Linked DNA regions of Caenorhabditis elegans. The protein of the gene in region 1 purifies or fractionates together with the protein of each later gene. This does not show direct contact. Each region holds a gene or a part of one and is shown on either strand. Other genes may lie near its edges.

Evidence for each region.
Region 2: the proteins of F53F1.2 (region 1) and acox-3 fractionate together in Caenorhabditis elegans (co-fractionation; one large-scale study listed by BioGRID). This does not show direct contact.
Region 3: the proteins of F53F1.2 (region 1) and ZK470.6 fractionate together in Caenorhabditis elegans (co-fractionation; one large-scale study listed by BioGRID). This does not show direct contact.

The regions. Positions count from the first base shown.
Region 1 is NC_003283.11:13,405,136-13,408,804, forward strand, and holds F53F1.2 (NADP-dependent oxidoreductase domain-containing protein), read left to right. Parts: upstream 1-1,680; 5' UTR 1,681-1,788; coding exon 1,789-1,992; intron 1,993-2,075; coding exon 2,076-2,319; intron 2,320-2,369; coding exon 2,370-2,539; intron 2,540-2,589; coding exon 2,590-2,679; intron 2,680-2,721; exon of another isoform or gene 2,722-2,731; coding exon 2,732-2,917; 3' UTR 2,918-3,106; downstream 3,107-3,669. Other genes in the region: cutl-1 (ZP domain-containing protein), read right to left, coding at 77-167, 228-377, 426-664, 711-879; F53F1.3 (NADP-dependent oxidoreductase domain-containing protein), read left to right, coding at 3,107-3,280, 3,328-3,449, 3,506-3,669.
Region 2 is NC_003282.8:6,244,824-6,250,133, forward strand, and holds acox-3 (Acyl-coenzyme A oxidase acox-3), read right to left. Parts: upstream 3,670-5,310; 5' UTR 3,657-3,669; coding exon 3,558-3,656; intron 3,514-3,557; coding exon 3,382-3,513; intron 3,336-3,381; coding exon 3,168-3,335; intron 3,008-3,167; coding exon 2,866-3,007; intron 2,814-2,865; coding exon 2,492-2,813; intron 2,331-2,491; exon of another isoform or gene 2,310-2,330; intron 2,181-2,309; exon of another isoform or gene 2,159-2,180; intron 2,015-2,158; coding exon 1,914-2,014; intron 1,867-1,913; coding exon 1,770-1,866; intron 1,722-1,769; coding exon 1,548-1,721; intron 1,446-1,547; coding exon 1,331-1,445; intron 1,281-1,330; coding exon 739-1,280; intron 688-738; coding exon 576-687; 3' UTR 535-575; downstream 1-534. UniProt on the Caenorhabditis elegans protein: Involved in the first step of peroxisomal beta-oxidation by catalyzing the desaturation of fatty acid-derived side chains of ascaroside pheromones, which regulates development and behavior.
Region 3 is NC_003284.9:4,175,531-4,178,965, forward strand, and holds ZK470.6 (MD-2-related lipid-recognition domain-containing protein), read right to left. Parts: upstream 1,778-3,435; coding exon 1,679-1,777; intron 1,631-1,678; coding exon 1,411-1,630; intron 1,364-1,410; coding exon 1,150-1,363; intron 1,099-1,149; coding exon 954-1,098; intron 834-953; coding exon 741-833; 3' UTR 535-740; downstream 1-534. Other genes in the region: mrp-6 (Multidrug resistance-associated protein lethal(2)03659), read right to left, coding at 2,699-2,875, 2,925-3,200.

The DNA.
Region 1 (3,669 bases):
TAAATATTAATTTATTTATTTATTTTTTTTTTTTTTATTTTTTTTTAAATCATACCTTTTATAAGAATTATCATACCTTTATCATTATCACACTTCCACTGATGATAAACCTGCTGACCTATTAAACCAAATTCTACAGGTTCACCGAACGGACCACCACTAAGGATCTTAAAGTTATACGTATACACGAAGCCAACCAGAAGAGATATTTTTAGTTTATGACGCACCTGATAAGTACAAGTTGGCATTGTCAAATTGACATTATAGCTTATTGTAGAGATTTCATCCACGGATATGTTGTTTGCAACAGTGACTTGGCTCTCCCGGTACAAGCACAACAAATTATAAGTTCTATCCACTTTTGTGATAAAATATGGCTGAAACAGAAAGCGATAAGGAAATATGTTTTATTATAAATAACTAACGTGAAATGAAATTGTGATTGTCGTTCGAACAGCAAGTCCCTTTGGATTCAATACTCGCTGTCTCAGTGCACCACATAATCCTATTTCAATTTCCAAGAAAGCTGAAAGTCTTCCAGTTCCTCTTGATGTACACACTTCTTCCGACGCAAAATCTTTAACAAAGATAACCCCAACAAATGGTTTTTCAGTTTTAATTTGAACTGATATAGTTCTCGAGTCACATTCAACTTGGACATCTCCTGAATATTTTGAAGCAGAGATAAATTTATTACTGAAAATAGTTACCGTATAAAGAATTTTGAATAGGAACAGGATTTACAGCCAGAGTAGCTAGGAGAAGCTGTAGGACAAGATGCATGTCTTCCAAATGACAATCATACTTTGATGATTCTGAGATCAAGAACCCTTTAGGAAAATAGTCCTCAAGTGTTCTTCTTATTTCTTTATTGTCCATATCTTAAACCGAGATATTAGATTGCAGAATAGGTTGTATCCAAGAATAGAGGGGAATTAATGGAGGAGCACTGTGAATAACCAGCTTTTATATTCCATAGAATTTTGGTTTCATGTTTATTGAAACCCTTTGTTTCAATATCAAACTGCTCCTGGAGGAATAATACTTTCCAACTTTTCCAGACATCTTTTCTTAAAAATTACCGTAATCAATTCCAACGATGCTCCGATATTTCGCAAGCGCGTGTTGTTTAGCCATTCCAAATAATCAACCAATTTTGTTTGTTTTTTGTTTTTTTTTTTAATTTATTTTATTGCTATTCGTTTTTTATTTGTTGTTTCATATATATATTAATTTTCCAAACTTGTCGTTAGTGTTTTGAATACCACAATACAATGAGGTTTTGCTATTTCCAACATTAATTCTCTGGCAAATCTCTGCGTCTCGCCCAATCCAAATTTTCGGTATTTTTTCGATGTAAAACAGAAAAGGAACTTTTAAAGTAAAATAATTTCGAATTCAAATAATGTATAGTTTTCTTTTCAAATTTTATTTTTATAATCCTCATGCTTATTGCATAATTCCAAACATCAGTTTCTCTGGCACCAATGAAACAAAATTCACAGATTATTTTTCTTAAAGAAAACTGTCCAAAGAACACTTTTACTTCTTTAAAAGTGAGGGAATAACTTTTGCTGTCCGCTCATTCCTGATGCGACTGACCTCGATTCAGGCCGCATCGACAAGTTGTCTCTTTCTCTAACCCCTTTGCATCTTTCTTTTTCTTGTACAATTCTTAGTCCACAGTCGGTATATGCCATTTTATCGTTCTAAATTAGAACTTCTAATCTTTCAAAACTTGCACTTTTTGCAATTTTCTCAGTGCTATATATTCAAATTCAGAGAAAAATGTCGGATTCGTTTGCCAATGTGCCAGGAGGATCACAAAAGCTCAACTCCGGATATAACATTCCATTCGTCGGATTCGGAACGTACAAAGTTACCGGAGAAAATGTTCCGCCAGCAATTGATGCAGCCCTCACTGCCGGTTATCGGATGTTTGACACGGCAAAGTATTATTTGAATGAAAAGGAATTAGGAGAAGCATTAAAGGTAAATTTTTATATTTTTATTTCAAAGATAAATTATGTTTACATTCTCTTTGTAATCAAATCTTCTTTATTCAAAATTTACAGATTCTCCTGCCTAAGCATGGATTATCTCGTTCTGATGTGTTCCTGACATCCAAATTCTTCCCAGAAAGCAAAAATTGTCGAGAAGCTTGCCGTGGATTTGTCGAAGAATCTCTACAATCTCTTCAAACCGACTATATCGATATGTATCTTGTTCACTATCCAAAACCGAATGACTCTGACAATGATGATGTGAATAACGCGGAATACCGGAAAATTGCATATGAAGTGCTGGAAGAGGCTAAAGGTTTGAAAATCAGAAATCTATTGGATTTTTCATTAATTTTATTATTTTAGCTGCTGGCAAAGTTCGTTCCATTGGAGTTTCAAACTATGAAATTGTGCATTTGGAAGAGCTCAAGACATACGCCAAGGTGCCGCCATGTGCTAACCAACTGGAGTATCATCCACATTTTGCAAGAATTCCACTTCAGAAGTACTGCAAGGAAAAAAACATTTTCTTCCAGGTTAGTTTCGATATTCTGGGGAAAACTCGTTTTATATAATCAATTTACAGGCTTTCTCCTCACTTGCAAGACACGAACCAAAGTTAATTGAAGATCCAGTCGTCGTTGAATTAGCTAAGAAGCACAATACATCAGTTCCTGTAAGTTTAATTAATTCTCAGACTGTATTCAAACAATTATACCTTTTTTCAGCTTGTACTTCTCGCGTGGGCTCTCCGCCAGAATGTTGGTATCGTACCGAAGTCGGTGACCCCATCAAGAATCGTAGAAAACTTCAAAGTAATCGATATTGCTCTGACTCCAGAAGATATTCAATCGTTAACAGCTCTTGATCGTGGGCAGCACTACATTCGTTGCACCGGATGGCTCGTCAAGTAAATGGCTTATCAATAATTGCAGTTTATTTCATAATCATTTTTCCCACATTGTGATATTTCCCTCTTTCTTGTGACTCTAACATGAAATTGAAACTTTTTAATTGTATGACGTCAGTTTTCCACTCTCGCAATATTCCGCTATAATATCTTTAGTTTCGTTTAGAAAATTTTTTAAAAAAATTATTTTCAGATGTCCATAAAGTTGAACACTGGTTACGATTGCCCACTGATCGGGCTCGGAACTTATAAAATTATTGGAGATCAGGTTCTCCCAGTTCTCGACGCTGCTCTTACAGCCGGATATCGACTGTTTGACACTGCAAAAGTTTATAATAATGAGAAAGAAATTGGAGACGCATTGGAAGTTTGTACTCAAGCGTGACGGAATATTTTTAAAAATTCAAGTTTAAGATCCTTCTTCCAAAGCATAATCTGAAGAGAGAAGATATTTTTATCACTACAAAAATGCATCCCAATACCGTAGAAAATGTGAAAAAGTTGGTGGATGAATCGTTGTCATTGTTGAAAACTAGGTAAATATACTTAGCTCCTGCTCCAATTTACAGAATAATATTTTATCGATTTTCAGCTACATCGATATGTATCTCATCCATTACCCGAAGTCATTTGACTATGGAGACCAGGATCCGATGAACAAGACTCTACGAATTGCCACGTGGAATGATCTCTGGGAGTGTAAGAATGCAGGAAAGATTCGATCTGTTGGAGTTTCCAGTTTTGAAATTCGCCATC
Region 2 (5,310 bases), on another chromosome or scaffold:
AATAAAAGTCGTGAGCGAGTTAATCTTTGTATTCATCGACTTCGCGACAACATTGATACAATAATATTGTGAGAACAGTTTTTAAAGTAAAATTAGAAATTGGCGTGGAAATAAATTAAATTTTGGTGTTATTTCATATAAATATTATTTTATAAATACATTGTGAAAGTTCTACAATGATTTTTGGCACTTAATAAATAGTTTTAAACATTTTCCCCGTGGGCGCTATCACTATTTTAAATTTTCCCCGTTTCACATTAATCATATAAATTCATTTAAACTAACGCAACATTATCGTTTTGGTTCTAAATGAGAAACTATTTTCCAGTGTTAGAAGCCTTTTAAGCATTTCCTGACATCCGGGTACCAAAGTTTTAATAAATTTTTTCAATTAAACATTTAAAAAATTTTGCCGTTTCACGTCGACGATATGTATAAATCTGAAAACTTTGCTTATACGTTTAGATTTTTATTTTTTGCAAAAATTTTAGCTTTCAAAGAAATTTGAAATTGTTTGTATATTTTGAATTTATTCAAAAACTGGATTTATTGGGAAATATACAGTTTGTGAAATATTATAGCTTGGATCCTTGTGATCTCTTTTGCAAAAACTGAGCCAAATCGCAAACCCATCTTGGTTGTTCATTTGTATACTTCCGGAATTCTTCCATTATATGCTCGTACGCTCTGAAAATCAAATTTAAAGTTCAGCAGAAACCTTTACATTTTAAAACTGACTTTCCATCAGATGCTCCCAGAGCTGAATGTAAAATGAAATCATCTGGAGCAATCGAGTCCACTAAAGCAATGGCCTCGGGTTTTAATTCGGCTACAGCGAGTCTAAGCTTCTCTCGAAGATCTTCTCCAAACTTTCCACCAGAAGCATATCCAGTAATATAAAGAGTTGCAAGATGTCTTTCCAAAAGGAAAAGTGAGAAAAGATTCAAAACTTTTTGAAGAACCGGCTTCACACTTTGATCTTCAATTTCTTTCAAGAACTGTTGAACCCAATGGATCATTGTATGTTCTGTGTATGCAACAGACAAATTGACAGCTCTATGAATTTGAATTTCATTTCGAACTTCGAATGAATTCTTTCCAGATGCTTTTAGTCTGTAAGCTTCTGCCGAAGTTGTTTGAAGTAAGTGATAAGTGAGATATCGGTACGCAGACAACACGTCATTAACTGGATTCGAAGACCATGATGAGAACTTTGAAGGTTTTTGATTCAAGAATGACATAGTAGACATCGGGGTCTCAATGGATCCAATTGATTGAGCCTGAACATCAGAATCTCAATATGATTAAAGAATCTGACAATTAAGTTTACTTTTCCTAGCAAAATATTGCTGGTTTGTTGCAAAATCATAAAGTTTTCTCCTTCAAATGTTTGTGATGGATCGTTGTCATCTCGGAGGGTGTTCAATCGTGACATTTGTAGGTATCTGTAATTTAAATTTTAACTTTAATCTGGAAAAAATAGAAAGACGAATTCTCAAAAAATGAGTTTCTTAAAGTTAAGTTTCAGGTTATGTTAGGAAACATACCCATGACCTCCACAAGCTTTTCTAGCTTCTCCAAGGGATTCTACACCAAGCCACGTTGCAACCGGTTTAGCTCCAGACGACAATGCATGTACTTCTTTTGAGAACTCGGAGAGCTCGTCTGACTTTTCTCCCATTATGACTCTCATCATATATTCAGTGAAATGTCCGACAAACCTATAAAGTTTAACTAATTATTGAAAACAATTTGTTTAGAGTTCCCACTTCTTCTGGAATATTCTAATGCAAATTGCAGCGGATAGGTACGGGAATAGACGATACTGTTGAAGTGGATACTCGAGAACTGGGATCTCATTTTCAGCTGAATTATACAAAAGTTGAGAAATTGAGAAAAGGAATGGTGCTCACCGCCTTTTACTGGTCCAAACTGTCGCCGAGCAACACTGTATCGAATAGCAATTGTAGATGCAAAAGTGCAAGCCATCATTCCTTTTGCGATAATTCCGAGTCTGAAATTTGTGTTATTGTGAAACCATTGTTGGTAAAGTTTGAATTTTGAAACAGTATTTTGTTTGAAAAAAATCAATCGGAAAAACTTATAGATTGCACTGTTTTCCCAACTTTATGAATTCGTCTGCTTTTACAATTTCGAATTGTCCTAAGAATGCCATTTCCATTATTTCTATTTGTATTAAATACAATGGCTTCACTCTAGAAAATCAATTCATATTTTAAAAGTATCGATTAAAGCTGGAATAGATTCGTTTTGAGATTTTGCTTTTATTGATAATAAGGCTCGGCCGTGAAATTTGCATCTTGTATCTACTAAAACTGAGAAAAAAACAACACATTTAAAAAGTTGGTAAAACAGCGGCTAGAAATTCTTCAGAACCTGATTTTTTTAACAGAAATTCTTTTAGATACAAATTTCACTCAATTAAAAAATTTTTCTATACGGCCGGCGTCGTAAAGTATTGAAAACATACCTTCCAACTGACAATGTTCCCAAACTGACACTCTGCTTCTCACTTGCAGATTTGAAACTTGTCACATATTTTCCATCCGGAGTAATATCACAACCCTTATTCAAAAGTGCACTCAGAGGAGCTCTATGGTTCTTAAACTCCATCCAGCCATTTTCTACTCCCTGCCAGCATCCTGGTTTCGAGCCCATGTCTCCAATGGTAATTCCTGGTAGAGTTTGGAAAGTTCTAGGGCAACGAACTTGAATCACAAATCCATGAAATCCCTCGTTCTTTCCTTCGACATGAAGTTGAGCATAAACAACTACGTGAGTGGCCGAGTGAGCTAAAAAAATGGATTTTTTTAAATTTAAAATTAAAAATGTTTTAAAACCCACCGAGATTTCCAGCCCAACATTTGATTGCACTGACACTTGGAGTATTGAAAACAAGTTCTCCATTGTCAAATGTAGCTGTTGTTTGAATTTCAGCAGTGTTTGAACCATGGCCTACTTCTGTCAGACAAAATGCTCCGACGATCTGAAATTTGCTATTTTGCAAGGAAACCTAAACTTTCCAGATTTGAATACAATGCGCTTTTGTTTAAATTTCTTTAGAATAAATTATTTTCAAATTTGTTTTGATTTTTCTTTTTCTTGAGTACTTCTTAATTTTGTATGCTATTTTCTTTGAAATTCACCTCATTGTTTTCAGTTTTCTGAATCAAATCCTTATGTCTATCTGTTCCCATTGACTTAACAGCTGCTCCAAAAACATTTCCGTGGAGGAAAAGCCTTGCAGATGTGCCTTGATCATAAGCTTCAAGAGTTTCAGTCAATGCATGGAAGTTTTCAAGATCGGAGTACGGCTGAATATTCGAATATATTGAAAATCTACAATTTAATAAGAAATACATCTTTGAACAACCCCCATTCGACAATTTTCTTCCATCTCTGATGAACAACTTCTCTTTGCTCTTCTCTACTCAATACTCGATAATCTCTGTGAAATACTGGTTCTGACTTCATTTTAGCAACTACTTCTGACTGAAATATATATAAATATTTTATAAATCCAAAATCTACTATACCTTCAGTCTAACATGTTCTTCTCCTTCAACGGCTGCTTTCAATTTTTTCCAGTCGAAAGTTGCCATTTTCCGGTATTTGTCAATTAAAGGAGCACTCATTTTTGATCTGAAACTGAAAAATTTACTAAATAAATCCTTTAAATTCAAAAGATTCATTTTATTTTCAGCAGAATATATGTTAAAATAAACTGAACAAAATTAAGACAAAAGCAATTGCATATGTACTGGGTAGGAAGAGTGTAGTCTTATCAAAAACAAAGAAAATAGAAAGTAATTGAGAGACGCAGAGATCGAAGACAGTCTGACTACAGCGTGGTGGTATTGTATAAATAGGGGGAGGAATGGTCTTTTAAAATTATCGTAGTAGATTGTAATTAGCTGGTGTTTGTAAAAAGGGTCAGAGGAAATTAACTGAAATTTTACAGAAAATTCATGTTTCCTTGTTTTAAAGTGGGCTCGGAGAGAGAATGTGGACAAGTAAATAGTTTAAAACAACGTAGTGGATAATAAAAAATTTAGTATTATTTCCATAAGTGTAAAACATGTTTTTAAATAAAAATACGCTAAAAAATTTCTAAATACAGTTTTGGCGAAAGTGGGGGTAACACATTTCCAGGAGCGTACTGGTCAAAATAAAAATTAAATTAAATTAAAATTAAATTAAAAATTATTAGCACTTTAACTTCAATATTTCATACTTTTACAATATTTTCCAACATTTTTGCAGTTTAGACTTTGATGTAAACATTTTTAGCGGTTTCATAGTTTTCCCGAAATCAATTTTGGCTGAACTACCAAAACTTGAAATTACTGATAATAATAATAGGTTTGCTCTGACTTGAGCAATTATATTAGGTGTCCGATAAAACCTACTCATCAATTTTGTGGAATTTGGAAAAAAATGTGATTGCCAACTTTGTGATTTTGTTGAAAACCTCAATAGAGAGTTTGCTTTTTCTTCGAATTACTAGATGCGTTTCACTATTTTATAAGTTAAAATAAGTGGAACCACAAAGTTCAGGCAATATTTTTCTATCATTACTAACATTAACAAGAAGAGATTAGTTTAATTCATGATCAAGACTGTTTTTACGAGATCTTTTTTTCAGCTGAAGTTTCAATATCAAAACAGAGAAAATGCCTCTGTTCATATAGTATTCGTGAAACAGCATAATAATTTTTTTGTTTAATTTAAATTTGAACACAAGAGTTGGCCAATTGAAGCATGATTGAAATACAATTAAAACTATTTATTTTCCATCTTTTTTCATAATTTCATAATCTTATTTCCCTCTTCTCAAACAAGTCTTTCGTTTCATGATCTTGGCATAAAGAAGAGCTTGAAAACATTTCTAATCCTTTTTTCCTTTTTTGCTAATCTCTCAAAACCTCCTACATTTCAATAATCTCTAGCTCTAACGTCACACATTCTGAGCTTTTGAGAGAGTCAGAGAAGCCACAAACCCGCCCATTTTCTGAAGAAGAAATCACTCATTCTGCCTTCTTCGACTGCTTGGTGGCGGTCCTATCTTCTTTTATGCAATATATCATACTATGTTATTTTTCTGTTATTTTATTGCTTAAACATCAAGCAATTAGAGTAAGTTAGTAGTATAGTGGGAATAGTTGTGCAAAAGACTTAAAGTTGCGCATTTTTGCAAATTTCTCGGTTGGTCCCCCGTTTTAGAATAATTGAGGAATTTCACTGAAAACCGTGTGTGCCTATTAATTATTGCTTCATGTGTGCCAATGT
Region 3 (3,435 bases), on another chromosome or scaffold:
TCTTTCCAAAATGCCAGTGCACTAATTATTTATTGTGTAAAAGGTTAGCAAAAGGTTTCTTATACTAGACTGCATTCCAGCTACTGGTCTTATCCCGAACAACGCTTCCACTTCATTATCACCATTCCCGCGCACTTTCCCCGGTGTTATTTACTTTTTTCTCAACGATCAGGTTTATATACATATTTTTTAAAGTTTCGTTAATGTTAATCGCTTAACATATTGCATTTGATGCTCATTGGTCGACAAAAGTTTTGCAAGTAGTGTACATTACTCAACAAATATTATTTGTTTGTTGTTTTTCTTTTTGACTAATTAATTCCTCTGGAAGTTTTCTCCGCTGAGTAGCAAGAAATTAATTTACTCTCTCAGCAGAATGATTATGGAATTATGGAATTTTCAGCGTTATTACTCGAGATAAACATGTGTCAAAACAGAGATCTAACGAAAGCCGGATCCCATGTGATTTTCAATTCTTGTTATTCACACATGCACCTTAGTTGTTCCAGACCATTCCCACATATCAAAACAGAATATACTATATTATTCATTTTTTGATAACCTGTAACAGAGAGTCATAATCATAAACAACTGGATGAATAGAAACCACTTGGTTCTGGTGTTCACTGGGGGAGAAGGTAGGGAAGGGGAATTAAATTAATTGGGTTGCGTCCCGGTTATCGTTCATAAATACTGCTGATAAGGATCTTGGTAATAAATAAATAAAAAGTGTCTTGGTCTCAGAGTGTGATTCTAGTTTGGATCGTAGCACAAAGCAACTCTCGGTAGGGATCTCGATTGTCTCGGACTCGAACCATCATTTGGTAGGCGGACTGAAAAATTGAAGTATACTGAAGAAGTGGATTTCTTTTTAATATTTCAATTTAAGAAAAAAAAACGTATTTGCTAAGCGTCCGTCAACGGCTCTCCAGTACAATAGCCATCGCGTTTACCTTATGGTCAGTACCCACCAAGTCATAGTGAATCATTCGGAACAGATTCGTAAACAACTTTGTTGGATCAATCTCGAATTCGATAACCTGACGTCCCGGAGTCACCGGACATGACGGGTTGTCGTCACACATATCATAGTTGCTCCTTAAAAAAACATTCAATGTTTTTCGGTGTTCTGCAAAGAAAACAACTTACAACAGCCCAAAGCTTGGTAAAAACATCCACCCACATCCGAACCATCCGGTTGAACGTTTAAAGATTGACACTTCGACGCCCAAATTGTCATATCGTTTGTTAGAATTACTGGTGATGTCGAGGAAAATTCGAATAGGCGAGTTGAAGGAAACCGGGTAGGTATCATCACCGTTGCCGTTTGTAATTGCACCGCCGTGAAGTTCAAACTTTGTGTCTACAATTTTTGGTATTTAGGGCTCTGTTTTACTAGAAGTACTGTACCTTCTTTACACTGGAAAAACGACGGACGAACTCGTGTTCGATTCGGAAGAGCAACGCATTCTTCTTCTTGTTCTAGAGAAGAATCTGCCATAAGGTATGGAGCATCCGGTGCAACTTCAGGGTCATCAGTGTTATCTTCGTTCGAGCCAGCTACTTCTGCAGCTTGATTACTGGCATCTTGATGGCTACCAAAGTTTTTGAAAGATCGAAAACGAGCAGGCTAAAAAATAAACTAAATCAAAACAAACACAAGTAAACAAAAAAATACCACTTCTTTTTTAATTTCAGCGCTATCTTGCTCAAATTCTTCTAAACTTGCAAAAACAAAAGGGAATATTAAGAATAGTAGAATAAAACGGAAATTCATCGTTAACAGAATTTTTGTTGAAATCTTCACTTGGAAACTTTTTTGGAACTGGCCGCAACCTGGGTGTATCGAATGTTTAGAATAAAACACAGATGAGTGCAAATTGAATAGAGCACTCGACGCACGAAAAGGTGCGGGTTGGTTTTTGAATTGCCTCAGGTGCTAGCGGGAGGTCGACGGGTGCGCTCTGTTCTGCTGTTTTCTGTGCTTTATATACCTGACCGTCTTTTTTTGTAGAGCGCCCAACATGTGGGGCGTTCTTGAAAGTCCGACAAAAACGCGATTCGCACCTGGTTCCAAAGCTCCGCCAAATCACTCGAGAGCCCGCATTTGTCGCTCGATCAATTTCTAATTAGAGCAAATGGTGAAGCACTCGAGATTGCCATTTTTGGCATTTGAAGATTTGCTCATTGCTTTCTAGACGGCTCTCTTCCTCACTCTTGACAAGTTTTTATCAGACACTCGTCACAGAAATGGTCTGCTTATTTCCATGGGACAGTGCAAACACAGAGCACAAAATAAAAACAGAAAAATAACAGAGTTTCTTTATTGGAAAAAAATGAGGGGGATGGAGAAAAGAATAGCTTGCATGAAATACATGTTTCGATTAGAATCATGAAAGTCAGAAAAAAACCACAGAACAAAATTGCTGATATTACCAAAGAAAAATTAAATTCGACACATATAAAGCTACACGATGTGGACGATGCGATCACTGGGCCAAAACCGAAATGATCTTAGATCATGGTATGAACAAGGAATTATTGTGCTCAATGGAATGATGGAATAAAAAGTGAAATAAAAACAATCTCGATTCCCTTTGAAAAGGTGACATTGAACAATTGAATTGCTATAAAATGATGTGAAAGTGAAACAAGTTATGATTTGAATATTTAGAAAACATGGAAATTTAATGAAACTTTAACTATTATCCGTATACGATGACTGATCATCGATTGCATGGGCCAATGCAGCCGCCCGAAGGGAGTCAAAATTTTCAGCCCCTGATTGAGCAGCCATTCTTGAAAACAGCGAGCTCTGATCATCCAGCAAAGTGATCGGTTTGTCAAACTCGACGAGCTCTCCTTTTTCAAACACCTGCAAGTTGCGAACCTAGGCATTGTTTGCTTGTTGAGAAACCACTTACCATTACATTATCGCTGTTCATAATGGTGTGAAGACGGTGGGCCACCGTGATGATTGTGGCGTTTTTGAAAAAGTCTCGAATTGTTTTCTGGATGCAAGCATCTGTCACTCCATCAACATTTGCGGTTGCTTCATCAATAACAAGAATTTTGGATCGGTGGATCATTGCTCGGGCAAGACAGAAAAGTTGACGCTGACCGACAGACAGGCTGACTCCCCGTTGGCCCAATTCGACGTTCAATCCTTTTTCTTTTGTGATGGAACGTTTAAGCTCACACTGAAAATTTTTTCAACGATTATCCTACAGAATCTATTAAAAATTTCGATTTCATATGAATTTCGGAATCTCGTATTAAATTAGACCGTTGGATCAGATTTAGGCACACATAGGACAAAACTAGGGCTACGGTGAGGTGAAGTTTGAACTTGGTTAAAATATGAGAAAAAGTTGGATCAGACTTGGGAGGGGTCATGTCCAAGTCTTCCTCAAGTCTTGCTTATGTCTTGTCCAA